Linked DNA regions of Notamacropus eugenii. The protein of the gene in region 3 interacts with the protein of the main gene of each other region in a biochemical or structural test. Links are inferred from orthologs where the notes say so. Each region holds a gene or a part of one and is shown on either strand. Other genes may lie near its edges.

Region 1 (7,442 bases), on a different chromosome or scaffold from region 3:
CACACCAAACCTCCCTTAAGCAAAATAAAAAGTCCTCGACGTTAAACAGCAGAACCACTTCCTCCTCCTGCCCTGGAATCTAACTACAGCCGTATTACTGTTGTTTACCTATTCGATTTATTTAGAGGAATAATAATAAACGTTCAAATGTTATTATCATTTCATGACTATTTAAATAAAAACATTTCTGAAACAAGCTGTAATGAAAACACAAGTTGAAATTATCAGTTTAAAGAACGTTTGACTATGGATGGAGACATTTGTCTTCTCCCGTTCTTTAGCTGAGTTAATAAGTACATAATATCCTTAAAAAAATAAAGATGTAAAAGGATGAATTCATTTCTAATTTTAAAGAGAGAGGTACACCTTAGGGTACATCTTCTCCTCCTCACTCCCTCTCCCCTTAAGGATAAATGAAATGACTGATTTTCTGCTTTACCATCGAAATTGAGTATCTTTCAAAATAGCAGTACATGGTTGATTCTATGGAATTCAGTATCCTACGAAGTTCAGGTGCTTGGAAACACAGGAGCAAAGTATACAGATGGTCGGTAGTCTATCAGGATAGGCTTTTAAGTGGCTAAGGATAAAGGCTAGACTCTTGGAAACACCACCGTAACAAGTGAAAACGTAAGGAAATGAAGACGAATATGGCAAGAACAAGCCTTTTGATCATTGGCTTGAAGCAATAGGTAGGTAAATGGGGGAGGGGGAAGGAGAGTAGGGAGGGGACAATACATAAGACTTGAGGATGAAAAAGAGAAAAATGAAAAATGAAAGAGGTAGGGGAGAGAGAGAGAGAGAGAGAGAGAGAGAGAGTGTGTGTGTGTGTGTGTGTGTGTGTGTGTGAGAAAAGTGGCCTTTGAGGAATCCTGATCGTGAAACCCAAAGTCCAACAACATTCAACGACACTAGTATTCTAAGAGAGAATTCCCGAGGAGAGAGGGGTTAAAAAACAACAACCAAAGCAAAACAAAACTCACCATCGCTGAAAAACTGTGTACTAACATCTGCGAAGTCTGGGTTAACGAGTCAGGGCAGAAAAAAAAATCAAGAGAAAAGTGACCGACTGCACATACACACACACACCCAACACAAAAGAGAAGCGAACGAGCCCCAGTTCTATACTATGACTACAAAGTCACAACGCCGGAGACTCTGGAGAACAAGAAAAGCACGACTATAATCCATCAGAACTTGAACCAATTCGTGCTGGTGCCCTTCATTGGACGTTGAAAACTCGATCTCTATCCTGTCGTGATAGTATAATTCAAAGTTCTTTAAAAAGAAAAAAGTGTGTATGTGCTTGTTTCTTAATCCTTTTCTTTCCCTCTTTTCTCCTTCTTTGACTTAGCGGCTGCTTCACTTGAGCTTCTAATAACAGAGATCGACTGCTTTCCTTGAGACTCCTAATAGCAGATATTCATGACTATTAATATTACACGAATACTTAATAAGGGAAGAATGGCTGGAAATCGAGCGTGAAGCGAAGAGGCAACTCAAGGCAGAGTCTGTTCTAAATGACGTCCATTGAATGAAGAATCAGTGTATCTAATCAGAGATGGGGAGAGGGAGAGCTAGAGACAAAAAGAGAGAGCGAGAGAGAGGGGGACATGCCGTGGCGTCTGACGAATCACAAGGAAGGGGCAACATTTTAAAAGGTTGCAGGACATGCAAAAGTGAAAGAGAAAGAGCTCTAGCGAGGAAGACAGAGGGAGAGGAAAAAGAAAGCAGGGAAAAGAGAGGAGAGAGAGATAGAGAGAGAGTGCCTGCATGAGAGAGAGAGAGAGAGAGAGAGAGAGAGGAACAGAGTGGGAGAGGGAAGGGAGGGAGTGGGAACCACATAGAGAGGGAGGGAGGGAGGAAAAGGGGGGAGAGAGAACGGATGGGGGAGGGGAAAGAGAGAGAAAGAAAGGGAGGGCAATCAAACCAAAAAGAGTGAGGGCAGACCTCAGGATGCTGCTGCTGCTGCTGTTGCTGCGAATATCCTGCATTATATGCCAAGGGCTGCATCTGGGCGGCCTCTTTGCTTTCTGTGCCAGAGTCTCTCCCCTGCCCTTTGGTGCAGCTGTCTGGTCCGCTTTTCTGCAGGGCAGGAGCCTCGGGGCCCCTCGGTCCCCTGCCGCTGTCGTCGGCCGCCGCTACCAATGCCTCCCCGAGAGATCCTTCCATGGCTTTGCCCAGGACCCTGACCGAACAGCAGAGACCCGCCCGAGACTGGAAACAACGAGGCATCCAGAGTTCTGCGTGCTCCTATTCCTCTCTTCCCTCGGCCTTCATCCCTTGCTTCTTTTTCCCCCCTCCTTAAGGGGACGCCCTTCTCTGCCCTACCCGGGTTTCGAGCCCAGGGACTGAGGAGTTACTGCCTGCAGGCTCTCTTCCTTTCCCCTGTTCAGCCAGGTCTGGGTGCCTTCTCCACTTCACCCAGCTCCCCACACTACTCCACCCATGAGCAGCCACTCTTTCCTGGCAACTCGGCGGTGACTGGGGCCGGGAAAAAGGCAAGCAGAGATGGTCAGGACTGCCCCCCTCACCTCCCAGAGCATCCACCGAGCAGTCGTTTGGGAGCTCAGGGGGACAGAAAGGTAGGGAGTTCCTGGGACCCAGGAGAAAGAGAAGGAAAAGGAGCCAGCCCCAGTCCCTCCACACACTGCCACAAGCTAGCTCCCCAGCTCCGGGTGCAAACCCGTCGGACTGGCTGGGCCACTCTTGAACACCAACTCCCCCCAAAGATGACACGCACATGCTCGAGCTTCGCCGCCACCACTGCCGCTGCCAGTCTGCCGGGTTATCATAACAACGGGCACTTTGCCTCCTGCTTGTCCTACAGAACTCCTGCTCCCCTAATCAAACAGAGCTGTAATCCTGCACCGAAGCCCGGGTTACAGTCTCTTCTGCACACACAGCCACTGGGAAAGTTGCAATCTTCTTAGCTTTATTTTATTCTCCCCCGCCCTCTTCTTAATCTCTCAGCAGCTAGAAGACTATGCCATCCGTCTCCTCTCTCTCTCTCTCTCTCTCTCTCTCTCTCTCTCTCTCTCTCTCTCTCTCTCTCTCTCTCTCTCTCTCTCCTCTCCTCTTCTCTCCCTCTCTCCTCTCCTCTTCTCTCTCTCTCTCCTCTCCTCTTCTCTCTCTCTCTCTCTCTTTTTCTCTCTCGCACACACACCCCATACTCACGTTCCTAATGAATGTCCCAACATTCTTTCATATCTCCACTCAATTCCCAAACGCCTCATGGAGGCGACTCGGTGTCCGATTCCCCCATGAAGCTTTAGGGGTACTGAGACTTCATTGGAGTTCATCCTCTGGTTAGGAGGAGTCCCAATGCCTCCGGCCTAGGGATTTGGAATTGTAGCCAATTATTATTTTCCATTTTCCTGGTCTGTTTAACACTAACTAGAGCAAACAGTCCGTCCATTCCGACCACTACAACAAAGCCAAGTTGACCCTCTTCTCCTCCCCTTTTTGGTGCTCGCGCATACACATGCGTCCTCATCTGGATCCCAAACGCACTCTTCCATCAGCTGAGAAGGGGGTGGTGGTGGTGTGTGTGCTTGGAAAGGAAGAAATATTTCTAGAAACAAGAACTAAAATAGTCTTCATAAAAGAAAAAGGCGCGGGGGAAAGGGGGTAGATAGCTACATGTCGTTCGGATAAACCTGGTTTCTGATTTCAAGCGAAAACAAGATATTGTTGCTCCGTATGCAAACAGCTCCTTTTCCTGACGCTTCCAGAATCAAATGACAAAAAGATATAAAAACTGGGACTCCAACTTATTTATTTAGATAATCCGCCGTTCTGAGTGATTCATCAGTTCTTCCTTTGGGGTAATGGAAGGGACCAAATGCGAATGGCTATAGAAAACTCATATAAGAATCTCGAACGAATGACTTAAAGAAGCCTGGACCCACAAGATATATACCACAGTAAAAACTGAGATTGTGCCCAAGAGAAAGGGGTTGGGGGGAGGGGAGACCCTAATGCACCGCTCACTCCCTCACGGTCGCACTCGGGCACCGGGTCCCAGAGAAGCCCGGTGTTTTCATGGTCTCCACATTATCCCTATGGCAAGACTGGTCCCACGATCTATCGCAGAGTCCCATCGTTTCACCCCACCCCAGGACAAGGGGTAGAAGGTAGAGAGCGAAGCGAACTCAAAACACCAGGCGGCCGCGCCACCAAGGTTCCCCGCTCTCGCACTTACGGAAACTAAGTTCTTTCCTCTCTGAGGCTGAGTGAATTTTCCTAAGTTCTTGATCCACTGACCCTGAAGTGAGACCCAGCTAACTGCAGGAATAAGGCGCAAGGCTGATAACATCCCATATTGTACCTGATTTCAGCTGCTCATTAGATGCCAGCTAATTACTCGACTAATGTTTTGTGTTCCATTCCGCCCCCCACACCTCCATACTCCCCTAATCAGCTTCTTCACCAGAAGATTCCCTGCACATCAGTAAAAATTTAGGCTAAGGTTAAAAAGAAAGCATTGGCACAGAGAAAACCCTATCTTCCATTTCTTTTTCTACTGACTTTCAGGACCTCCATGAGTTCGGAAAAGGCACACCACTGGCAGCACATGCTTCAAAAATCCCCGCAAATTTCTCTGCTCACTCTCCTAGTGTATCTCCAAAATTTAAATTTAAAAAGAGAATAAAGACGTAAAGAAGGGAAAAATTACCCCACTTTCCCAAGTTCTGGGTGGGCGCTCCCTAACCCAGTGTCACTCCTTCTGGTAGCCTGGGTTGAGGAGAGGTAGAAGTTTGTCCTATACGAAATTCTCAGATCGATGCATGAGGCAAGATCCCAGTGACAGCCCATGGTGCCCCTGGACGTGCCCAGACCAGCAAAGAGCTTACCTCACAGTCTTCGTATTTGATATTATCCGTCAGTTTCCAAAGCATTTTCATGGATTGGCGTGAGCAAATTTGTTTCTCTCTGCCTTGCACCAAAGTGGAGCCACTCTCTGGGAAAGCGCAGAGTACAGGCTGGTGGTGGAAGGGAGGAGGAGGAGGCGTGTGGGGAGAGAGCTCCTGTGTGCGCTCGGAGATCTCCCTCTAATGGTAGAAACTTTTCCCTTTTCCAGCTCTTTACCAACAGCCTAATCGCCTCATTAGCATATCAACAATAGTCCAATTGCTCTCCAGCACAAGAACCTGCAGCAATGGACACAGGTATATAGGACTCACAAAGCGGGAAGCTTCCTCCCAAAGCTCTGGGTTGCTTTGGAAGGAACGGAAAATCTTCGCTGCCGTTCCTTTTGCCAATCGATTTTGCACTGCCTCCACCCTCCCCCAATTGCCCGAATCCCCCAGACCCAACATTACACACACATACACATACATACACACGTACGTACACACACACACACGCACGCACAACACTTACACAGTGATTTCCAGGGAAAAGCTTAAAAGAGATGGGTGAACCGAAAGTCACTACTATTGTTCCCTGATATGGAGCTAGTGTCCAACGTTTCTAGCCTTCATAACCAAGAGAGGTTGCCCTCCTCGTCCTCTCCCTTTTTTTTTTTAAGCACTAATAATTGCTTCCATAGCAATTCAAGGAAAAGAACCCAGCTATATTTTTACCTTATACATAATCTCATTCATTCCAGGAAGGGACTACTCTACCAGAGCTTTCCCCCTCCAATTTTATTGTTGGTTTTTTTGGTGGTGGTAGTGGTGGTGGTGGATATGTGTGTGTATGTGTGTGTGTGTGTGTGTGTGTGTGTGTGTGTGTAATTTTCTTCTAGGTTGACAGAGGGTTGTTTTTTTTTTTAAACAGTTGAGATGTCGCCTAATTCCTCTGTGTGTAAAATAAATGTTTAAAATCATACATTTTTATTTTACACAAGTTTCAAAGGCAAATTGCTTTTCTTGCAGGAATCCTTTTCTCTCCTCAACTCCCATTTATTCCTCCAAAAGTTAGTTTGAAGTTACGATTGACTGACAATTGAACTCCTTCAGGCCATGGGGTTGTGGGGGAGAGATTTCTTTAAAACTTAACTCATGATGATATGTACATAATCATCTTAGTGGTGCTACAGCACTACTATACTACAGTACTACATGTACAGATGTATGTATACACATTATTATGTATACATCAAAATAAGTGATTGGAAACCAACCCTTCACAGAGCTAATATGCTACAGTTTCCCCAAGATTCCCATTTTTAATTAAGACAAGGAGGGCTCCTCTATGATTTGGTGATGTTACCAAGGCTGACTCACAACACAGTGCCCTGGCAGATGGTGGGAACCTGCAAAAGGTTTGGTGGTTGGTTATCCAGGGCTCTCGGGGGTCTAGAAAGTTAACTACATGCTTCATTCAGTACGTTGACTATAGTAAAAATACTGACATGATCCTTAGACATATGGATTTTGTGTCATTTGTCCTTAAAGAAAGTTTCTCCATTTCTGTCTATTCACTTTGTCTCTCCCTTCTCCTTTGCTTTCCTTCCAATCCTCTACCTCTTCTCTCCCTACTTCCTTCCAGTTCTCCTTTCTCTCATTTTTTCCTTAACCTCAATGACATCTGCAAGGTCATCTATCTTTTTCCATGCTGAGGTTAACAGTCTTTGACTTTATTTGGGGCCACATTCCGCAAGTCACACAGGCTGGTGCAGTTCTCATTGTGTGTGTTCTCTTTTTCATATTCCTGTTGATGTGTGTGTGTAAGGGAGATTTGGGGGCCATTACACAGTTGTTACCAAACAGATAGAAGAAGGCAGAGGAAGAAGCAATCCAGTTGGCCAGGAGAATATATTCCCTGGATCAGGTAGTATCTAAAATCTAGAGCAAGACCTGACTAGAAATGTTGATCTTAAATGCTCAAGAAGCTGAGGGAGGAGAGGACTACTTTGAATGCAGTATTCCTTAACTACCCTCTTCTCTGTGTTCCTATTTCTTGCCATCTGAATTTGGCATAAAACACTAATTTTCAAGTCCCCCTCCTTTGGCTCAGCAACAAGAATAGACCTAAGGCTCCCTTTTGATTATATTAAATTCAGTTTTCCAGGGAAGACATTTGGGGACTCTGCACTGTGGTCAGTCAAAAAGTCATATGTAATGCTGTGCTAAGCCAATGAATATATATTCTGCATGCATAAAACAGATAGTCATGTTAGATCTGTGTATTGCCTAGATATTGCCTGTATATGTTAAGGGGTTCCTTTTCTTCAGATGAAGGAAAGACAGAAATTTTCATCCATTCTTCCTTCACCCCTACTTGTCCTTTCAGCTTCTTCACCATCTCCACCCTTCCAGGTCCCCTTGGCACCACTAGGCTCTGAATAATCCCAAAGTGTGTAAATTGTTGTTCTATTCCTATTGAGACTGCAATTGAGGTGCAGATCAGGGCCTGTAGTTTATGCAAAGAGGGATGTGGGGTGCACTCCTTTTATTAAAGCACTATCTCCAGCCAGAGTCATCCAGTGGAGC
Region 2 (7,566 bases), about 15 Mb from region 3:
ATGGTCCACAGGAGGCCAGGGATATCTTGACTTTGATTACTGACAAAATTCTAGGAACTGGGAAGAGAGTGAACAGTTAGGGAAAAAAAGGTGGTGAGTGAACACAGGTCTAATTTCATCTCTTATGAAATAATAACAATAACAACAATTTATATAGCATTTACTATGTGTCAGACACTGTGCTAAAATGTTTTCCAATGTCTCACATTTAGCTTTACAACAACTTTCACAGGTAGGTGCTTTGATTATCTTCATTTTACAGATAGGGAAACTGAGGCAAACACAGGCTAAGTGACTTGCCCAAGGTCACTCAGCAAGTACATGTCTGAGGCTGGATTTAACCCAGATCTTTCCTGTGCACTATGGCACCATTTAGTTGTCCCAGTTAAGGAATAGCTAGACTTAAATAAATTAAGGAAATCTTATAAATCTTATAAAGACAGTTTTCCTAGAGCAGCAAAACATCTGACAAAGTCTCTCAGGTTATTCTGGTGAAGAAGGTAGATAGATGTGAACTAAACAATAGCAAAGTTAGGTGCACTTAGAAGTGGTGGGAGAGCTGGACTCAATAACTCAGTGTCAAATAGGAAGAGGTCTCTAGTGGAGTGGCTAGTGGCTCATAATTCTCAGATCTCTCAGTGATGCCAGATCAAGAGGGATGGCTAGCTGGAGGCATAAGTCAGACTTTGGTAGACCAGAGCAGCAGTTTTCAACTTTTTGGTGTCCACAACCCTTTATGCTCTGAAAAAATTATTGAGGACACCCCCCAAAAGAGATTTTGTTTAGAAGGGCTATCTCCATAGCTATTTACAAGTTAGAAATGTAGATGTCTTCTTATTATGAAATTAATTTTAGCCTCTCAGACTCCCTGGAAGATTCTCAAGGACCTCCATGGTTCACAGGAGCACATGTGGAGAACTGCTGAGTTAGAAAATCATGAAAGACGCTGGACCATGCTTTGTGTTTGCTGATTAAAGGAATTGAGCCAATATTTGAAGGGTTATTATGCAGAAGAGAAATTTCACATAGTTTGGTTGGCTTCAGATAGTAAACTTAGGGATAATGGAGAGAACATGCATGAAGACAGATAAGGACTTTAGGGTCACATGCCCCAAGGTGGAAGACTGGACATATTCTGTCATTCTCATGACCTCTCAAACCTCTCCAAAACAGCAACTGTGTGTAAGAGATAAAGCAATTTTTAGCTGTTTCCATAGCTTAGGGTTCCAGGAACCCAAACGAAATAAAAACACTCTCTCAGCATTCTTTCTCCTATTACCTACCACACTCCCAACAGCAAGGCTGCATAAGCCTTCCCCAGGGCTTTCAACAGAAATTGTCTCCACACCCTGACCCCCACTGCACCCTAGTTCAACCCACTCCTGCCTTCCTCTAGTGCCACCAAGATCCAAATTCCAAATAGCAGAAACTTGCCCAGGTTGCCAAAGTACAGTGATCATTCTTTACACAATACAGTTTGTCCAGAGAACAGAGAGGGCAGGATACAGATGTGACTAATAGAAAGAGCCCAGCATTCATCTGGGACCAGTTCTGTCCTCTCAGAAGACACTTAAGACAAACACCAAAGCTGGTGAACCATGAATTGCACAGTGTGGGAAGAGGCTGAAAATTGGAGATTCAGCCCCCAGGAAAACCACCATTAAAGAGGAGAATTGGAAAGTGAGCAATAGGTCCAAATAAGGAAAAAAAAATTTGAAATTACCAAAGATCTCAGGAGGAAAAAAAGGATAAACCTCGAGCATAATCAGATAAAGCAGACAAGTTTGAATATGTATCACAAAACAAGTGAAAATGAATTCACACCTGATGAGGCAGAAGACCCTGTGGGTTCCCAAGGGAGCATGCAATCACAACAGGATTCCTCTGAATGCTTCAAAAGAGAAACTCGAATTGTGAGAGAGGAACTTATGGTCTACATAGCCAAAATCATTGGTAGGATAGAAAAAACTAGAATCCACAATGGCAAGTCTTACAAAGAAACAAAAGAAAGAATAACTGACAATTAAAATATGCCGGAGAGGACACTCTGGAAAAACAGAGGCTGAGTTTAATGCGAAATGTCCTAACGACTGGAGTGGTATGAGAGTAGAGTGGATTTCCTTAGGGGAAAAAAGCAACCTTCCCCTCAGTAAATGCCCATGGCCAAGGGAGATTGCAGAGGGAGTTTTTGTTCCTATATATGTTGGGCTAGATCATCTTTGTGGTCTAACTCTGAGAATCTGTGGTTCTATATGATGCCAAATTTAACACGAATTAAAACAAAACACTTGATGTTCATGTAACACTTTACACCTTACGCCTAACACACATCTGAGCCTCACAGCAACACTTTAAGATAGACAGTCTAAGTATGATGATCTTCATCTTATAGCTGAGGAGACTGAGGCTCACAGTGGTTAAGTGACTTGCCAATGGTCACACAGCTAATCAGCATCAGAGGCAAGATGTGAACTCTGATGCTCCTGGCTCTGAGTCCAATACTCTATCCATTAGTGCATGTTGTCAGGTTCCCTTTTGCTATTAACAATAGCATGTTGTTATAATCCTTTAGTTTACAAAGCTGTTTATAATATCTAGTGAAAATAGCCTTCTTCAAGAGATTAATACTTTCACATTGCCTCTTATATTCTCATTGCATATACGAAGGCTATATGTATAACTTCTTTTCCTGTGGAGATTTGAGGACCATCTTATTATGTTTGAAACATCTCACCTTCCTATTTTTCATTAGTTCAGACATCTTAGTAAGACACTCTCTTCTTACCTCCTTTTCTCTGAAGTATTGATCCATCTTCTTTAAAATGGCTCATTGTATCTACTTGGTCTTGAAAAAGAGCCATCCACTGACATGTACTCAAACCCCGATTTTCCCCAGATGTTCCTTTTCCTTTTTGGGGCTGACCATCTTCTACTTTGTTAATAAACTAGATGGCCATGGTCCATGGCTAACTCAGTCCCTGTTGTCTACAGAGGGGGGGAAATACAACTGCTCCTTCAGTTAAAAATGATGGATCTCCCTGTGATGTCACAAGCAACAGCCATTGCTGTGACAACATCTTGTGGAAAATCATACTGCTGGACTTAGGGTAACACCATCTATCATGCCCTTCCCCTAATAGAGTATGGTTTTTCATTTTACTGAAATGGCTTTTCAGTTTTCATTTTATTGGATAGAGAGCTGTTCTTTTTGAAAATGACCTGGCTGATTTAGTAGACTATAAACTCACTATGAAACAACAGTGTGATTTCTCTCTGTCCACACTTGTAATATGACAGGCAAAAATTGTTTTCCAATTCTATTTTAAGAAAAATATGATGTCCAGAACACAAGAGATGATGGTCCTACTGTCTTCTTCTCTGGATGGACCAACTCTAGACTATGGTGCTCAGTTTTTGTGTTGCATTGTAGGAACAGCAAGTGAGCCAGCATGGCTGAATTATATAGCATACAGAGAGGAATAATATGTAAGACAAGAAAGACAGGGTCCTGGTTGTGTTGAAAGCTTCAAAACAAACAAAAGAGTTTACATCTTTGATCCTTGAAGGAATTTATTAAAGTGTGTTTGTGTGTGTGACATACTGAGACCAATATCTCTGTCAGTCCTTCTGATTCTATAATACTGAAACATTCTCTCTTTTACAAATCAATGCCTCATTCCATCCGCAGAAGAGATTGTAAAGTCTTTGAAGAGATAGTCTGTGTCTTGCACCCTTTGTGTTTCCATCATTTGTCTTGCACAGTGACTCATACGTCGTAAGTGCTTACCAAATATTTGTTGGATTGATATGTGACACATATCAATGGACACAAATTCTGCGAGTCCCTATGAGCTCTTGTTCTCTTACACTGTTGGGTGCTTTAATGTGTTGATTAAGATCACATTTGAATTTAGGTCAGAACAAGATTCTTCTATTCATTTTGTTTTCTGCTATCTTCAACTTAACAGTCACTTTATCAAAGTTCCAGGCTACACAATAAACCTACAAAACTACAGTATTTTTATATTTCCCTATTACAATACATGCTCCCAGTGACCTGGCTTCCAAATCTATGTGTCATTGACTTCCTATTTTCTCTCTGATATTCATTCCTTTCCTATACCTAATTGGCTGCCAAATTCTCTCAGTTTTCCTTCACATCATGTCCCATATGCATTTTCTTCTTCCTCTGACACTGCTATCATTCTGATTTAAGACCTTATCCCCTCATGCCTGAACTATTCCAATATTACTCTAATGGCTGCTGCTTGATCTTCCCTCTGCAAGCTTCTGCCAACTCTGCTCCATTCTCCACTCACTATCAAAGTGATCTTCCTAAAACGCAGATGTGACCATGCCATCCTCGTACTCAACAAACTTCAGTGGCTCCCTATCCGCTTTGAGATCAAAGACAAAATCTTCCAGTTGGCATCCTAAACCCTTCACAACCTGACCCTCTCTCACCCTTTCCAGTCTTCTGACATCTTAAACCCTTCTGTGCATTCTTTGGTCTAATGAAAATGGCATCTCTGCTAGTCTATGAACAAGACACTCCATCTCCTGGCTCTATGGCATTTCCATTGGCTGTCTGTCCCTCTTGCCTGGTATGCTCTGTCTTTTCATCTCTTATCCCTGACTTCCTTCAAGTTCCAGCTAAAAATCTTCCCTTCTACAAGGAACCTTTTCTGATTGCCTTTATTGTTTATAAATAACAACAATATGATGATAATGTATGATAGAGATTTTTTATATCAAGACATAAACATGTATTATATAATATATAATGAAATATATAAAATAACAATAATGATAAAGAACAACCAATGATAATAGTAAGTAGCATTTATATAGTGCCTACTATGGGTCAGGTATTGTGCTAAGCACTTTACACGTATTATTTCATTTAATCCTCATGACAACCTTATGAGGTAGGTACTATTACTATCCCCATTTTACCTTGAGAAAACTAAGGCGTGTAAAGGTTAAGTTACTCACCCAGTATCACATATCTAAGTGTTTGAAGCCAGATTTGAACTCAGGTTGGGCACAGTGATCTATGTACAGCATGAGCTAGGTGTTTCTAGGGAAAGCATTCCAAGCAAGAGGGTCAGCCAGTTTAAAGGTAAGGAGATGGGAGATGAAGGAACAAGAAATTAGCCAATCAATTGAACATATACTATATGGGGAAGGTGATTATGTGTAAAAAGACTAGAAGGGTAGAAAGGAGTCAGAACTTTTCTGTTGCAAAAAGAAGACTTTCTCATATATCCTAGTGGCACAATGAAGGGACCTCGTGAGTCAGAGGGAGGGGCGACATGTTCCAGTGTGTCTGGTCTCTCATTTTATTGACTGAGGAAATTGGGGACCAGAGAGGAAGTTATTTGCCCACACAGCAAGATATTTGCTGAGCAGGAGCAGGATCCAGATATCCTGATTACCAGCTCAATAGTCCTGGGCTCCATTAACTAAAAATTGTCTTCAAAGATCAGGTTGTCTCAACCCAAATTGCTCACTTTCCCAGTAATCCTACAAAATGAAAAAAAAAAAGCGTGGTGTTGCCATGTGTCACTGACCGTTCTCTGCCATGAATAATGATAGTCCTCGCTCAAGGAGTATTTGTTTTCCCCCAAGAATGGGGACATGATATATTTATTTATTTTACATTTCTCTGCTTTTCATTATGAGTTATACTGTTAAAATTCCATTGCTTAGATTACAAAACACCATGATGTCAATACTTGCTTAATGTTTTTCTTTGTTCAATATTACTAGAAGAAAAGAATCATCTTGTCTCTATCTTCTGAATAATACCCCCTGAGTCAAAAATCCCTGAAATCAGAGTTGAAAAGGATCTCACTGGTCATCTAGACCCAATCATAGCCCAAAGGAAAAAGGAATCCCTTTGACACTATACACAACAAGTGAACTGGAAGACCAAACATTGATGACAGTGATTTCTGTTTTGAATTGTGCCTTTAAATGGTTGTAGCCATCTGTTCCAAACAGATATGATACAGAAAAATAGAAGGTAAAATTTCTCTTTGAGTATAGGCTGCCTACATTGAGATGGAAGGGAGATTTGAGATCAGCTTGTCCAACCCCCATCATTTTACAGGTAAGGAAACTGAGACCCATAGAGTTCCAATGACTTTCCCAAGGACATTGAAGACAGATTGTAAACTGACTTTGAATGATGCAAGTGATGTAGAGGCAAGAGAGTGATATGATCCATACAATGTTAGGAGAATCCAGGAAGGTATCAATATTAAAATACAATCATTCTTTTGTCACTGTCAATGAAGATAGATCAGTATAGAAAAATTGAGGATCATCCAAAGAGTAATGAAGAGGGGCATGGTCAAAGTACTGGGTTAGGAAGCAAGAAGTTGTCTAGCAAATTAGATTAAGTCAAGATCCATGGCATGTCAGAGCTGGAAAGGACTTTGGCCATTACTTTATAAGATAATCACAGAACTTTAGAATCCAACCTGCTTTCATACAGCTTTACTTCTTTCAAAAGTGAAAGCCATCTTTTAAGCTCCACACATCAGCCCCAGTTCTGGTATCTGGAGCAACCCTAGAATTAACCTCATCCAGCTTTCACTTGACATCCCTTCAAACATTTGAGGGTAGCCACCTATCATCCCCCCCATCCCCAAAGTCTTTTACTCTTTAGAATAATTCCAAATTACTGTCATTTCTTGTACAATGTCACATGGTTTACAGTCCTCTCTTTCTCTTTTAGCCTTTTGGTTATACCAATGAAGCCAATAAAGAGGATGGGACTGGACTGGACAAAATGCTCCAGATATCATTGGACTAATAGGAAGCGCAGTGGGATTATTACCTCCTTTAATTCAAATACTGCTTCCACTAATGCAGCCTAAGATATCATTAACATTTTAAATGAACTATATACTATTCTCGTGGCTCATTTTGAGCTTGTGATTAATTAAAATCTTAAGGTCTTTTTGACATGAATTACTCCTACATGAGGACTCCTCTATTCTATACTTACATAATCAGCTGAAAAAGAAACAAACATGATTACAGGAATTTACATTTATTTTTCTTAAATTTCAACTTTGTTTGGTTCCACCGTTCTGAATTGCCAAGATCATTTAGAATTCTGACTGTTGTCTAGCAAAGTAGTTATTCCTTCTAGCTTTGTCTCATCTCTTAATTTGATAAACATGACTTCAATGTCGTCATCTAATTCTCTGATCTGAAAAGAAAAAGTTGAACATGGCGAGGCCAAAGACAGAACTCAGCTTCATTCCACTAGATACCTCCCTCTGGGATCACGCTAATCTATAGTCAACACTCTTTGTGTAGAGTTGCTTAACGAGTTACAGATTCACTTAGTTGTACACCATCCAGCTCTGATTGCCCTGCATTGTCAACTGAGATATCATAAGGGACTTTTCCAGATTATGCACAGAAATCATGAAATGACACATTCAGGGAATTTTTCTAATTTACCAGTCTAGTGACTATGGCAAAAAGAAATGAGGCTAGACTCTCTCCCTCCCTCCCTCCCTCCCTCCCTTGCTTCCTTCCTTCCTT
Region 3 (7,437 bases):
GGTCTCTGCCTCTTGGAAACCCAAGCTTGCCTCAGAGCTCAGCTCCAATGGCACTTCTACCAACAGGCCTGCCATGATTCCCGCCCCCCACCCCCCGGGATGTAAAGGCCCCCTCCCATCATTCTGTATCTCTCTTATATCGACAGTCTCCCTAAAGAAAGTTAAAGTTCCTTGAGCAGAGGGACTGTTCCACTTTTGTCTTTGTATTTCCGTTGACCTCCTCTAAGTACCTGGCACAGAGCAGGCACCTAATAGGTGCTTGTCCATGTTTTTACATGATCCAGGACAAGTAATTTTGTTTTTTGGGACAGCAGTTTCTAGATGCATCTGTTGTTGTTTAGTCATTTTCAGTCCTGTGCAACTCTTCGTGACCCCATTGGGGGTTTTCTTGGCAAAATTATTGGAGTGGTTGGCCATTTCCTTCTCCATATCCTTCCAGAGGAAACTGAGACAAACAGGGTTAAGGCACTTGCCCAGGGTCACACAGGTATTAAATGTCTGAGGTTGGATCTGAACTCCCGAAGATGAGTCTTCCTGACTCCAGGCCTGGAGATCTGTCTCCTTGGCCATGTGGCTGCATGGGCCTCATCTGTAGAATGGGGGAAATAATAGTAATGGAGTCATTGTGAATATACTTTCAAAATGGTAGAGCACCATGGAAGTGTTAGTTCATATTTTTAGTGGAATAGGGCCAGCTTGGTGTATCCTGGGCTGGAGTCAGGAAGAGGTAGTTTCAAATCTGGTCCTGACTTTAGGTCCCTGGATCTGAATGCCAGATATGCCACATGTGACCTCAGGCAAGGCATGTAACCTCTTTAGGCCTCAGTGTCCACATCTGTAAGATGAGGAGGAGTTAGAATAGGTGACCTTTAAATCCTATTATCTTCCTCTGAGCTATGATCTGTCAGTATCTGGAATCAAGAGACCTGGATCCAAATCCCAAAGAGGTTACTTGTGGCATGGTGGATAGAACAGCCAGATGATCCAGCAGACTGCTACAGTTATTACTGAAAAGGACACTGGGTATAGAAGCAGAACAGAGCAAGGTCTGAATCCGGCCTTCTGACACTCACTAGCTCTATGACCCTGGGGCAGTCCCTTGGCCTGTGTTTCAGGCAAGTCCCTAATACTTCTCGGCTGAGCCCACTGAATCAGGAAAGGGAGTGTCCCCTGTGGAGGCTGTAGATTCCTTCTGCCCTTCTGGGAATGTTAGTGGAAAGAAGCCCTGACACCCATGACTCCTTCATAGGTGTTCAGGTCCAGCAGGTATTACCTGCATTGTAGAGATGAGGAAATGAGGCCCAGAGAGTGTCCTCCCCTACAATCAATCAAACTGGAAATGTCCAAGGTAGGATATGAACTCAGCTCTCTCTTGCCTCAAGTCTCCCCGCCCCTCCCCCTGGCACCATGACTACCTGGAAGATGGGAAGAGCTTGTGAAGTCAGGTTTTTGGACTCCAAAATTCTGCCTAATAACAGCCCATAGGATTGACCCTCCTAATTTTACAGATGAGTCACCTGAGGCCAGAAGGTAAAGTGAGCTGCCTGAAAGGCTCCACAGTGAGTGGCAGACCTAGGCACCCAGTTCCTCTGCCTCTACCCTGCTGCTGATCTTTTCTCCAGGTTTCTCTCTCCCAGGGTGGGGCCCCAGCAAGGGGTCCCTACTGTTCTGTAACACAATTGTTATTTTGCTCCCCTCAACCCCAATCCCCCATTGCTTTTCCCAGAACAAGGCAAACTATATTTACTAAACTGACCACTGGGACCATCCTCCCCAGTGCTCTACATCACCATGATGGAAGTGAAAGTACAGTTGTTGTTGGGCAGAGGGGGAGGGGCATCGTAGCTCCGTTCGGATGGGCCTTTAACCCACCCCTTTCTGTAAGTAAAACAGGAGCTTTGTGTGCCCTGAGATAGCAGTGTCTTCCAAGTGAAGCCCTATAGGCACCAGCCTTCCTTCAGACTCAAGCCATAATACAGTGTTCCTCAGTTTGCTGATGCTGACATCACAAAACTGGAGTGTTCCCTGGTGACTGAGCTGATAGCAGCCTACAGCCCTTAGAAAACAAAAGAAAACTGAGAATGACATACAAAGAAAATCCTGTATCTGAGTTCCCTTAGCCTCCTCCACTCACTGAGAGATGAGTGTTCATGTGTGGATGCATGTATATGTGTGTGTGTGTGTGTGTGTATGCTCAGTTCCTCATCCCAAACCAGTTGGGGGCAGGAGGGTAGGCAGATCACTTTGTGGCTCTGCCCCCTTCACTGGTTAATCATCAGGGCCATTCCCATTTATACAGCACTTTAAGGATTACATGGCATTCACAAAAACCTTATGAAGCAGTGTGTACCTTGGAAACAGGGATGGAGATAGATTTGGAAGACCTGGGTTTGGACTCTAGGTTTGGGGACTTATTATTTACTGTATGTGACCTTACAAGAGTCACTTAATTTTCCTGAGGCTCAGTGTCTCCCCTGTTAGAATACAATCACCTAGTGATGGGAATTGTTTCATTTATTGTTATTATATGCCCAATACCTGGCACACAGTAGGAGCTTAATCAGTGCTTGTTGGTTAAGTCTGTTTCAGCTTTAAATCTAATACAACCCAGATCTTTCTGTCTTCATCTCACAGATGACAAAACTAAGGCTAAGAGACTGGTAATAAAAATACTAATATTTATACAGTGCTTTCTTACTATATGCTAGGTACAGGGCTAAGTACTTTACAAATATTATCTTGTGTGATCCTCACAACAACCTACAGTCACAGACAGAACTCCTAAGTGTCAGAGCATCTATATGAACCAAAGGAATTCCAGGTGTAACACAGCTGATGAGGGAGTGGTCAGCTCTGCTTAGTTCTCCGAGGAGGGGGGACCCATGGCCTCCTGAGGCCACCTGTCCCATTCTGGGAAAGTCCTCATTGTCGGATCATTTAACATTAGAACTTTTCCTGACGCTAACCCTAAACTGACTCCAGTTAGAGCAACAACTCAACTTTCTACAGCTCTTTAAGGCTGACAAAGAGCTTCTCTCCCAATGACCTTGCAGCACAAGGGCCATTGATTATGCCCATTTTACTGATGAGGAAGCTGTCTCAAAAAAGATGTAGGGGTTTTACTACTTGTCTTTTCTGACTTCAAGCCCAGGGCTCTGAGTCTTGGCAGGCATCTTCTTCATTTTATAGATGAAGACCCAGAGGGCGCAGGCAAGGGGCTCAGGGTCGGCCGTCCGTGCTGCCTCTGGGGTGAGAAGCTCCGAGTTTGAATGATGCAATGGGCTCGGATGGCCAGGAAGGCCATGCCATGCAGCAAGCACCTGCTGCGGGCAGGGTCTCTGCTCGGCCAAAGGTTGTGCGCCCAATTTAAAATAATATCCGTAAATCGCATTTCTTAAGGTGACTTAGAAACCTCCTCGAGCAAAGATTAAAAAAATGGAAGAGAAAAGGGAAGAAACAGCCCCTGCCCTCGAGGAACCGGCCTTCTGCCCCGAAGACAGCCCGCACACGTGCGGGGAAGGCTCCGGCAGCTGCTGGCGGGCAGGGGCCGGCTCCAGGAGGGCTTGGAGCCGGGGGGCATTTGACCCGAACTGGGGGTGACACGAGGGGTCTTCACCAGGCCGGGGTGCGAGGGCAGGGGAGCCGTCGGGCGGGGCTTTGCCCGGGAAGGCCGGGCGCGGGAGGGTGCCAGCCTCAAACAGGACTCGTCCCTGGCTCTAGGGGGTTAGGGAGCCCGCGGAGCTCGCAGGAGGGCAGGGCCGCCCGGAGAGCCGCCCTCGAGGACGTCGCCTGGGCAGCCTCGTGTGCGGCAGCCGGACTGGAGCGGGCAGATGGCCGCGAGGCCCAGGTGACGTCCAGGTGAGAGCGGAGGGGCGGGGCGGAGCCACCACGTGGTTTGGCTGGCTGGGAGCCAGGAGGTTTGGAGCCCAGGTGGCTGCCCTGATAAGGTCAGGGGGTAGTTCAGGAAGTGGGGGGCCGGGGGAGATCATGAGTTCTGCCCGGGGGACGGCCCACTTGGAGTATCCCGAGTCTCGCCAGCGGCGGCCCTGGGGCTGTTGGATGGGCTGGAAGGGGACCTCGAGGAGCGCTCCAGGGAGGTCATCCTGACCGGGTTTTCCGTTCCGCCAGCCTTCGGGCCGGGAGTGAAGGGGAGGGGACGAGCGGTAGTCCGGTCCGGGCGGAGTCCGGCTCCGGTCCGGGCGGAGTCTGCGGGAGCCGGCACAGAGGGTGATCCGCACCGGGTTTTCGGGGCGGCCCGGGGCGGAGGGGCGGGGGAAGCGGAGTGCGTGGGTGTGCACGCGCGCGCGCTTCGGAGCGAGGGCGGGAGAGGCAGGGTGTGAGGGCGGGGGCGGGGCCGGGCCGGGCGGGGCGTGGCTCCAGGAGGGAAGTTGCTGAAGTTGGGTGAGCCGCCCGGGCCTGGCCGCCGCCTTCTTCTGCGCTTCCTTCTCTTTCCCCTCCGCCGTCTCGAGCGTGTCGGCGCCCGCCTCCGTCCTCGCCGCGGCCGCTCGCCGTGCATGATGGAAACACCATGGCTTCGGCGGCCCAGCTCTCCCTGACCCAGGTAACGAGGCGGGCTGCCCGGGCGCGCCCCCGCCCCCGCCCTCTCCGCGCGCCCCCGCCCTGTGCCCGCGCGCGCGCCCCCGCCGCCCGCTTCACCCCCTCGGCCCAACCGCCGGCTCCCGAGCCGAGCCGAGCGCCCTCGGCCGCGTCCAACCGTCCCGGGCCGCTGCCGGGGCTCGCGGCCGGGACGGGAGGGATGCCCACTTCGGGTGCGAGGGCGCTGGGCGGCCAGCAAACCCATCCCGTGGCAGAGGGGAAACTGAGGCAGGGGGCGGCACCCGCGTGCGGCCCCTCCTGGTGCCCCTGTGCTGCTCTCCCTTCATCCTAAGGTCATAGAGGGAGGTCATGGCGCTGGCAGGGGGCCGTCCCGGCGACTCCCCCCACGGTACGGAGTCCTGGAGACTGTTTCTGGGCGTAACGCGGGGCCTGAGTCACCCCGCTAGGCTCAGGTACACCGTAGGCGCTTCATAAATGCCGCTTGATGGGGTTCGTGCAGAGCTAATGGGCGCGTCTCGTCCTCCCCCTTAGTTGACAGATGAGGAAACTGAGCCCCTAGGCTGCCCCCGCAGCCCAGCCCCCCAGCAGCTCCCTTCCCCCACTTGCGAGCCCCCATCTCCCAGCAGTCAGAGCCACCTCAGGTTCACTCCTCTGGAAAGTGGGAGAGGCTTTTAGAGCTTTCCTTGTGCCAGGGCTGAGCCCTTCCCACCCAGCCTCCATTCCCTTGCCCCCAGAATCAGCTCCATACCCCCCAGGTCTCGTCCTTTCAGTGTCCAGCCCAGAGAAAGCCCGAAGTGCCAGGTGCTAGCCTGCCCGCCGCTGCCCTCGCCCTCCCTGAGCCCCCACTCGGAATTCCTCCCCATCCTTCCATAAAGGCAGGCAGGGATGTTCCCTTCAGGTCATGTCTTTCTCAACTTCTGATCTGGCCCTTTCCGGAGTCATCCAACCTTCGGCTGGAGATAAAGTGACCACACTTTTTGTGGGACTTGTTGGTTCCTGCTAAGGGCTGGACCTGAGATATATAGACCCAGTTGCCGGGCGGGTGGGTGAGGGGTGTTATTTGTAACTACCTGTCAGGAGATAGGAATGCCCTTGTCCTGAGCCAGTCAAGTCTCCCTCTCAGAACTGATAGGAGACTGAAGAAAGGCTTTTGCAAGGAGCCCTGGACTGGGGCAGAACCGCAGCGATCTCTTGACCAGGGTCACAGGTTGGATGTGTTTGGATAGTTCCTGAAGGATTGTTGGGGCCTTTCAGATTGTAGGGGCTGAGTTTATAAATGTCTCTTGAAGTTGAAGGACCACTGTAGCCGTGAGCTCTTTCTTTTAAAAATGCATTTGGTGCTTTAAATGTTCATTTAATAAGAATACTACTGGCAGGGTAAAGGTTTTATTTTCCAGTGGTCATTTTGAAAAGTTGTGCTCAGGATGAGATGGTAATGATTTTCATGTTTGTTGGCCACTTCTGCATTATGAACACGGTCGCACTCACTCAATCTTCTGCAGTTTTGTAGGCAGTCATATGCTATAGTAAAGTTGTCAAGGACATAGACTTGGGAAGCAGGTGCTCCCCAGCAGGTCCCCTTCGCTCTGTACCTAAAGACCCAGGCAGGTCCCACCTACTAAGGCAGGAAGGCCTCCCTCAGTCTACTTAAAGAGGAGGAGGTGCTCTCATCACTAGAAGACTGGCTCCAGCAGCTTTTTATGCCATCTACTAAATCTTGAAGGGACTGTGGAGGGAGGGAACATTCACCCTAAGAAACACCAATGCTTTGGATGACTAGCATAAATACCTCATGGGTTGTAAGGCATTTTTTTCCCCTCATCTATAAGATGAGGAGGCCATTAAACTCAGGATGTAGGATTGGAGAGCAGGGAGGGACCTAATGGATGTTCTCTAGTGCATCTTTGAGGCCTATGGAGGTTAGATGATTTGTTCATGGACTCTTGGCTAGGAGGTAGCAGTCAGGATTTGAACCCGCTCCAAATTTGGGGCTTTTCATCACTTCCCAGGGCTGCCTTTTGGACTGGTCTGGGTTGTGCTTGATTTCACTTTGGAGAGCAGGTACTTCGTTGCATCTTCCAGCTGGAGCAGGAGCTAATTTTAGGTTGTTTGGATTCTGAGATATCCAGAGAGGAGTCAGCAGACAAAACTCGTGTTCATAGACTATGGAGATGCCCCTGGATGGTCTGTCTCTAGCATCGTGTGACTGTACAATGCCTGGGTAGTTGAAAGGTTTTTGCTCCGTGAGCTACAGGAACAGTAGATAATTTGATTTAAACTCAAGGGTAGGGATGAAGTTGTCCTCATCATCTTTTCTCTCTCTGTGTCCTGCAGAGTGGCATTGAATATAATAAGCATGACATATTTCTGCAATCTCTACTTTACAAGGTCTCCGTCAGATAAGAGGTTTTTGAAGAGGGTCTTCTGGCTTCTAACTTTCTGCCTTGGTAGACATTTCTTTACGAAGAAGGATTCAGTTTGAGGGTTCTTCCTCTGGCAGTCTGCCTTGCTTCTGTTCTAGCCCCAGGAGGGGAAACAGGAGAGACTGATGGATGACTAGACAGCATGGTAGGGTGGAGCTGGAGCCCTAGACAGCTCTGGGGTCCCAGCATTCTCGTCCTCAGTCTGTCTGGAGCTGAGCTAGTTTCAGACACCTTGGTGGTGTAATGAAGGGGTTAAGGCTAGAGAGCCTCTCCCTGTCAGCTCTGCCATTCAGTGATTTGGTTCTGACCCAAGATCTTGCCAATCTAGACATCTTGGAAGAGCCCTGAAGTCGGGAAATTCCAAGTCTAGCCCTTATCAGCCATGGGTTCCTATACTGACAAGACATTTGTCTTCTCTAAACTTTAGTCTCTTCATCTGGAAAATGGGAATAGTAAT
Region 4 (7,419 bases), on a different chromosome or scaffold from region 3:
GGGGATGGGGGGGAGGCGGGGACGTGGCTCTGACCTTGTCATGCTCCTCCCGGCTCAAACTAAGGGCCAGCTGGAGCTGGACGTCATCCTCAGGGCCACAGGGTGGGGGCTGGCAGGGTGGGGAGAGAGAATGTGAGGGGGGCGGGGCAGGACCAAGAAAGAGCTGCAGAGCCAGGAGAGCCAGAGAGAGCCTGAAAGAGGCTGGACTGGGGGCTAAGGAAGTGAAGGATGAGGAAGATGGAGAGGAGATGTGGCCAAACCCCAGTGCACCGCTGCCCCCCAGCAGGCCCCCGCCCCCGCTACCTGGTCAGCCTCTTCCTTGCTCATGGCCAGGGCCAGCTGCAGCTGTAGCTCCTCCTCCCCACTACTCTGGGGCCAGGCCTGCTCTGCCTCTGGGGGCGCCCCAGACCCCACAGCTGCTGAAGATGCTGCGGAAACAATGGTGGGAAGGGTGGGACAGGGCCTAGCTCCAGGGAGGTCCCCTCCCACTAAAGACAGACATCCCAGGTCTGGTCCTGCCCCCAAACGCAAGAGAGAACACATGATGGCACCCTTGTTAGCTATGTCCTCATCTCCATGCTTTCCTTCAGCACCTCTGCCCCCACTACCAGGCACTCCCTTTGGTCAGACTGCATGGACTGGCCTGGGCACAAGGTCTACGGAACCTGAGAACTTGGGGGAGGGGGGAACGACTGCTTTTTCTTTGCATCCACAATGCTGAGCACATGTGGTGTCCAACACGTAGTAGGTACTCCAAAAATGACTAAGACAGGAAAATACCAGAAACAAGAATCAAGAGAGGAGATGGAGCGGAGGATGGAAAAGGGACAGCAAAAAGTGAAGAGACGGAGATAAGAGAGAGAAGCAGGGAAAAGAAAAGACACAAGGAAGAAAGAGAGGAAAGAGAAGCAGAAACATGGAAACAGGACATTCAAGCCTTTTGGGAGAGGAGGGAGGAAGGCCCTGCCCAGGCTCCCCAGCTCCCCAGGCGCCCTCCGTCTCAGGCTCCCCAGCTCCCCAGGCGCCCTCCGTCTCAGGCTCCCCAGATCCTCTCCGTCTCAGGCTCCCCAGATCCCCAGGCTCCCCAGATCCCCAGGCGCCCTCCGTCTCAGGCTCCCCAGATCCCCAGGCGCCCTCTGTCTCAGGCTCCCCAGCTCCCCTCCGTCTCAGGCTCCCCAGCTCCCCTCCGTCTCAGGCTCCCCAGCTCCCCTCCCTCTCGGGCTCCCCAGCTCCCCTCCGTCTCGGGCTCCCCAGCTCCCCTCCGTCTCGGGCTCCCCAGCTCCCCTCCGTCTCGGGCTCCCCAGCTCCCCTCCGTCTCGGGCTCCCCAGCTCCCCTCCGTCTCAGGCTCTCAGGCTCCCCAGCTCCCCTCCGTCTCGGGCTCCCCAGCTCCCCTCCATCTCAGGCTCCCCAGCTCCCCTCCGTCTCGGGCTCCCCAGCTCCCCTCCATCTCAGGCTCCCCAGCTCCCCTCCCTCTCGGGCTCCCCAGGCGCCCTCCGTCTCAGGCTCCCCAGCTCCCCAGGCGCCCTCCGTCTCAGGCTCTCAGGCTCCCCAGCTCCCCTCCCTCTCGGGCTCCCCAGCTCCCCTCCGTCTCGGGCTCCCCAGCTCCCCTCCCTCTCGGGCTCCCCAGCTCCCCTCCCTCTCGGGCTCCCCAGCTCCCCTCCCTCTCGGGCTCCCCAGATCCCCAGGCGCCCTCCGTCTCAGGCTCCCCAGCTCCCCTCCATCTCAGGCTCCCCAGCTCCCCTCCGTCTCGGGCTCCCCAGCTCCCCTCCCTCTCGGGCTCCCCAGCTCCCCTCCCTCTCGGGCTCCCCAGGCGCCCTCCGTCTCAGGCTCCCCAGCTCCCCTCCATCTCAGGCTCCCCAGCTCCCCTCCCTCTCGGGCTCCCCAGCTCCCCTCCCTCTCGGGCTCCCCAGATCCCCAGGCGCCCTCCGTCTCAGGCTCCCCAGCTCCCCTCCGTCTCGGGCTCCCCAGCTCCCCTCCGTCTCGGGCTCCCCAGCTCCCCTCCGTCTCGGGCTCCCCAGCTCCCCTCCCTCTCGGGCTCCCCAGCTCCCCTCCGTCTCGGGCTCCCCAGCTCCCCTCCCTCTCGGGCTCCCCAGCTCCCCTCCGTCTCGGGCTCCCCAGCTCCCCTCCCTCTCGGGCTCCCCAGCTCCCCTCCCTCTCGGGCTCCCCAGCTCCCCTCCGTCTCGGGCTCCCCAGCTCCCCTCCCTCTCGGGCTCCCCAGATCCCCAGGCGCCCTCCGTCTCAGGCTCCCCAGCTCCCCTCCGTCTCGGGCTCCCCAGCTCCCCTCCGTCTCGGGCTCCCCAGCTCCCCTCCCTCTCGGGCTCCCCAGGCGCCCTCTATCTCAGTCCCAGGCAGGACCGCACCCCAGGCAACGTCTGCGGCTGATAAAGAGGAGGCTGCAGCGGGGCTGGGGAAGACGAGGAAGCCTCCCTCCCCTGCGGGCTCTCACCCGTGGCCGTCTGGGCCAGCTTCTCCTTGGTCTTGAGCGCGTGGGCTCGCTCCTCCCGCAGGCGGTCCTCGTCCCGCAGCAGGGCCACCAGCTGCTTGGCCTTCTCCCGCACGTTGACGCCCTGGTCCTTGCCGTCCCTGTCCACGTACTGGAAGTCCTTCAGGGTCTGCACCGCGTACATGTTCTCCTTGCACTGCTGGGACACGCGCTCCGAGCCGGTCTTGATGAGGTACTCCATGAGCGTCATGGCCTGAGGGCAGCAGGGGGTGGGCCCGGGGCAGCTCGCAGCGCCCCGCCCCCCGCCCCCCGCCCCCCGGCCCGGGGCGCCCCTGACCTTGTACACGTGCCGCCAGTTCTTGCCGTGGTCGTTGAGCCGCTTCCAGATCATGCTCATGATCTCCGAGAAGGCGACCACGTTGTAGGTGAGGTCAGCGATCTCGGACATGAGCGAGCTCGAGGGCCCCCAGGGGTCATTGCTGGTGGCCTCGCGCACCTTGATCTCCGCCTCCGAGTAGTTGTGGACGATGTTCTTCATCTGCCGGCGCAGCGACGAAGTCGACATGGCTGCGGGGCCGCCCCCGGGGCCGCGGGAGGGGGCCAGGGAAGGGGGAGCCGGTCACCGCATCTGGGGGCGCAGAGGCCGAGAGAGGCGCTGAGGCGGGAAATGGGTGTGCACCGGAGGGGGGGGGCCACCCACCAGCACGCTCGCGGCCCCCCGCTGTGCGCAGACCAACGCCAAAAGCCCCTGGCCCCTCCCCACCGCCAGGTCCTTGCACCTCCCAGGGCCCGGCCCCAGGGCCTCCGTCCAGCCCAGAGAAGCTCAGGAGAGACAAGGCAAGGCCAGGAGCCGGGAGGGAAGAAGACGCGGCGACAGCTCGCCCAGGGCCTGGGCAAGGGGGGGAAACTGAGGGAGAGCGCGGCAGGGAGGGGGCAGAGCGCAGGGGCAGACGGGCCGAGCAGGGCCGGGGTCCCAGAGGGCACGGGAGGGGTGGGGGTCGACGCATCCACATGGGACCCGGAAACCTCAGACAGAGCCGGGGAGAAGACCCCGAGACGGGGGACGCAGGGACGCGGCGGAAACAGAGAGGGGGAACCCCGCCCCGCCCCCCTCACCCGCTCACCCCGGGAATCCTCGGGCTCCGGCTCCCGGGAGGGGGCGGGGGGCAGCCGCCGAGCGCAGGGGAAGCGGCCGGGAAGAGGACGGCCGGAAGCGGAAGTCGCGCCCCGTCCGCTTCCGGCTTCCCTCAGCTGGCCGCCCGCCACGTCACTTCCTGTTCAGGCCCCAACCACCGAGAGGAGAGCGGCTAGAGCGCCGCGCGCTGGGGGCAGGGCAAACCGAGGGCTGGAACGGAGCATGCAAGCCGCCCCTCCTGGAGACGGAGTGTGCGGTCCGGTTCGGGATCCGGCAGGGCCCTCCGGAATTGGCCCGAAGCTTTTACAGATGGGAACACTGAGGCGGGCGGCGAGGCACCGCCTTCCGAACCCCGGAGCCCCGCCCCCATCGGCCCCTTCACTCCGGGGAGAACGCCAAGTGCGTCAGTGACGTCACCACGACAGGTGTAACTGACGGGGGCAGGGGGAGGGGCGGTCGCACCCACACCCCCGAGTCAACACTGGACGCTCCGTAAAGTAAAATACAACAAAATGTTTAATGAGCAAATTCGTCTTTAGCAAATATGAAACTGCCAGGAGAAGGGGGGCGGGGCGGACAGGAAGGGGACGGGCGGAGAGAAACAACATCTCTACTACATAAGAAACCATCACGGGAGGGGGCGGGGTCCCAGGAAGGGGCGGGGCGGGAAGAGGAGCTTTATGGTCCTGGGCGGGCAGAGGTCGAAGGTCAGGAGAACAAAATTGAAAAAGTTTTGGCCGTAAAATATAAACACGCTATGTTGCTACCGCGAGGGGAGGAGGGGGGCCCACCCCACCCCCCCAATGCCCTCCCCCATCCCCCATCCCCGTGTGTTCGTGTGTGTATTGTGTGTGTGTGTGTGTGTGTGTGTGTCCACACCCCAGCCCCTCCCCTGCCCAGGGCTTCAGCCCCCGGCCTTCGGCCTCCGAGGCGCCTCTTCCTCCTCTCCTGGCCAGGGTCGAGTGAGGGGGAAGGGATGGGGGGGTCTCCCAGCCAGCTCCGGCCCCCTGACCCGGCCCCCCTCCCCGGCTGCTTCTACCAGAAGTCCCGGCGGTGGTAGGAGTCGGGGTCGCAGTACTTTGTGACAACCACTCTGTTGGCGAACTTGCGGCCAGTCAGGCCCTGCATGGCCTTCTGACAGTCGAACACGGACGTGAACTCCACGAAGATCTGCGGAGAGAGCGCGGGGGCTGGGGCCCGGCCCGGGGTGGGGGGGGGGGGCTGGGGTCCGGCCGGGGGGGGGGGGGGGGAGGGCCCGGCCCGGGGTGGGGGGGGGCCGGGGCCCGGCCCGCGGTCTGCTCCCACCCACCCGGGCCACGTGCAGGGCTCCTCCTGACCTTGCCGCAGCCGGGGACCTCCACACCGTCCACAGGCCGGGGGATCTCGATGGACTTGACCACCCCGTACTTGCTGCACTCATCCCGGACATCCTCCACGATCTCCTCATACTCCTCGTCGTCCAGCAGCTCCTCGGGGAGCACCATGTTCATGAGGCACAGCACCTCCGTGGGGTGGCCACCCATCTGCACCTGTGAGCTCATCAGGCCAGGGACCTGGAGCGTCACCGGCGTCTGGTTTATCGTGCTCTGTGGGGGGCCACGGGGAGGGAGGGGTCAGGCCACAGGCCTGGGAGCCTCGGACCCCTGCCCGCCATCGCTGCTCTAGCTGACCCCCCTCCTCCTCCCCACTGCTAGACTCCACACCCCAGTGGGACACCCACACCCCCCCCACCTCCCCCAGGCTGCTGCCCACCCTCTGCCTGGCCTGCCTGTCCACTCGGCTCCTCCCAGCCCAATCCCACCCCCCCTTCCACCCCCCAGGGCCCCCTAGCCAATGGAAGATGACGTGCCGAAGGGCTCACCAGCGTTGCGTTCTTGGCTCCCACACTAGCCCTCTGTACCAGTAGCTTCTTATCCCCCAGTTGCATCCCGTTCAGCCCCGCGATGGCCTGCAGGGGGTGGGGTGGGGGTGGGGCGGGCGTGGGGGGAGTGTGGGTCAGGGGCCAAATTCCCCAACCTCCCCCTACCCCTGACTGGAGTGGGGGCAGGGGCAGAAGGGCTGTTCCCCACCCATCCCAGGGGGCTGACCGACCCTCCCTGACCCCCTTAGCCCAAGCACACAGGGACCACTGGCAGAGGTCCTCCAGGGACACTCACCTGGTCAGTGACGTTGATGTCCACGTACTCACAGAAGGCATAGCCCTTGGAGAGGCCCGTGGCACTGTCTTTGACCAGGTTAAAGGCTTTGAGCGGCCCAAATGAAGTCAGCAGTTCCTTTACCTGTGGTGGAGAAGTGGGGGGTGGCGGGCGGGCGGGGTGGAGGCGGGGACGAAATGGAGCGAGTCAGGGGAGGGAAAGCAAGAGGACAAGCAGGTGACAGGGGAAGTTGGCAGGTGGTTACCTGATCATCATTCAGGTAGTTGGGGAGTCCCCCAATGAACAGCTTGTGAGCAGAATCTGGGACCACAGTGGACACGACACCTGCAGGAATGGAGAGGGGCAGCCCTTCAGTGGGAGGTCACTTCGGCCTCCAAGGGCCTGGGGAGATCTGGTTACATGGGGTCCACACCGCTGCAACCCACCTTCTGCTCCAAACACCCAGGAGCAGCAGCAGAAACCAAGAATGTGACTAACCTCTGGGACACCAACAAACACCCCTCCCCAGGATGGACATTAAACATCTGGTTAAACACCAACTCTTGTTACAGAGGGGGACCAGGCCCAGCAGGGTGCCCTGACCAGCTGGAAGGGCCTGTGGAGATCTCAGCTAATCCCACCATGGCTGTGACCATGGGCTAAGATGACTGCCTCAGAGCAGCAACCCCGGCAAGAAGGGCAAGGTGAGGCACAAGTGTGAGACCAGCCCACCAACGGCACTCACGGCAATCAATGCCTCCTCCAGCCACCCGGCCTAAGAAGTGAAGAGCAGAGCCGGCTAACACTGAAAAAGCCAACTTGAGATTCTGGGGTTTTCTAGATTCTAAAAAATGGGGAGTCACTGGCTTTAGGGCCAGAAGGTCCTTGCTGGGCATATTTCTAGTGAGGGGTATTGAAAGATTGTCGATTCTAACCTCCTTAGGGCACAAAGGAAAAAACTAAAAGCTTGCTTAAGGTCATGCCTGAGAGCAGCAGAGCAGAGACAGTGACCCTGGATCCCCAAGTTCAAGGCTCTGGCAGAAAAACCATACCAGTGGTCACAACAACTGTGCAAACTGAGGCCCAGGGACACACAAGAAGGGCTGGGCTTAGATCGCAGCATTTGGTATGCAGAGCTTCCTCAAAACACCTCAATCTCATGCTCAACAAAGACCTTACTTGACTGGCTACCAGTAAGATCTCATTCTTAAGCTAAGACCCATGAGTTAGGAGAAAGAGCAAGAATAAAATGCCCAGGGAGTGTTTGCCTAGGCTCTGACCTGCCCGCAAGGAATCTCCTACAATATTCCAGAAGGGTTGCCCAGGCTGAATGATGTGCCCCCTGCTCTCCCCTGTGGAGCCCTGAAAACATGTGAGTGCAGAAGGAAGCGCGATCTGCCGCCTCCTCCTTCCCCCAAATGTTCTTTATCATCACCAAGCTCCTTCAACCTTCTTCCTTGGGTGTCCTGCCTCTGGACTGGCCCACCTCAATAGCCTCTGGGTACTTATTGGCCAGCTTAGTTCTAAAATACAGTCCCCAGAACTGAACCAGGCTCCTGCCAGATGTAAAGTGACTAAAATAGGACTCTTGTCCTGGGCTCTGGACACGAGGCCTTGGACCACCTATTACAATGGCTGGGGCAGCATCTCACCCACTCTTACTGAGCTTGTGGTCTACCCAGACTTCCAAGGCCCTCCAAAGGAG

Evidence for each region.
Region 1: the proteins of EPS15 (region 3) and TFAP2A form a complex in vitro, tested with the Homo sapiens proteins (2 studies listed by BioGRID). The link is inferred for Notamacropus eugenii from reciprocal best matches to the Homo sapiens genes EPS15 and TFAP2A.
Region 2: the proteins of EPS15 (region 3) and SGIP1 form a complex in vitro, tested with the Homo sapiens proteins (2 studies listed by BioGRID, with this or other methods). The link is inferred for Notamacropus eugenii from reciprocal best matches to the Homo sapiens genes EPS15 and SGIP1.
Region 4: the proteins of EPS15 (region 3) and EPN1 form a complex in vitro, tested with the Homo sapiens proteins (4 studies listed by BioGRID and IntAct, with this or other methods). The link is inferred for Notamacropus eugenii from reciprocal best matches to the Homo sapiens genes EPS15 and EPN1.

Annotation. Positions count from the first base shown.
Region 1 is NC_092875.1:181,716,877-181,724,318, forward strand, and holds the start of TFAP2A (transcription factor AP-2-alpha), read right to left. Parts: upstream 3,018-7,442; 5' UTR 2,236-3,017; coding exon 1,951-2,235; intron 1,359-1,950; exon of another isoform or gene 1,011-1,358; coding exon of another isoform or gene 984-1,010; intron 606-983; exon of another isoform or gene 476-605; coding exon of another isoform or gene 440-475; intron 1-439.
Region 2 is NC_092873.1:527,079,812-527,087,377, reverse strand, and holds the start of SGIP1 (SH3-containing GRB2-like protein 3-interacting protein 1), read right to left. Parts: upstream 3,018-7,566; 5' UTR 2,862-3,017; coding exon 2,786-2,861; intron 1-2,785.
Region 3 is NC_092873.1:511,774,501-511,781,937, reverse strand, and holds the start of EPS15 (epidermal growth factor receptor substrate 15), read left to right. Parts: upstream 1-4,432; 5' UTR 4,433-4,528; coding exon 4,529-4,561; intron 4,562-7,437. UniProt on the Homo sapiens protein: Involved in cell growth regulation. May be involved in the regulation of mitogenic signals and control of cell proliferation. Involved in the internalization of ligand-inducible receptors of the receptor tyrosine kinase (RTK) type, in particular EGFR.
Region 4 is NC_092876.1:18,168,340-18,175,758, reverse strand, and holds the start of EPN1 (epsin-1), read right to left. Parts: upstream 3,010-7,419; coding exon 2,782-3,009; intron 2,698-2,781; coding exon 2,448-2,697; intron 429-2,447; coding exon 304-428; intron 110-303; coding exon 35-109; intron 1-34. Other genes in the region: U2AF2 (splicing factor U2AF 65 kDa subunit), read right to left, coding at 4,615-4,749, 4,917-5,165, 5,429-5,527, 5,736-5,858, 5,980-6,059. UniProt on the Homo sapiens protein: Binds to membranes enriched in phosphatidylinositol 4,5-bisphosphate (PtdIns(4,5)P2). Modifies membrane curvature and facilitates the formation of clathrin-coated invaginations. Regulates receptor-mediated endocytosis.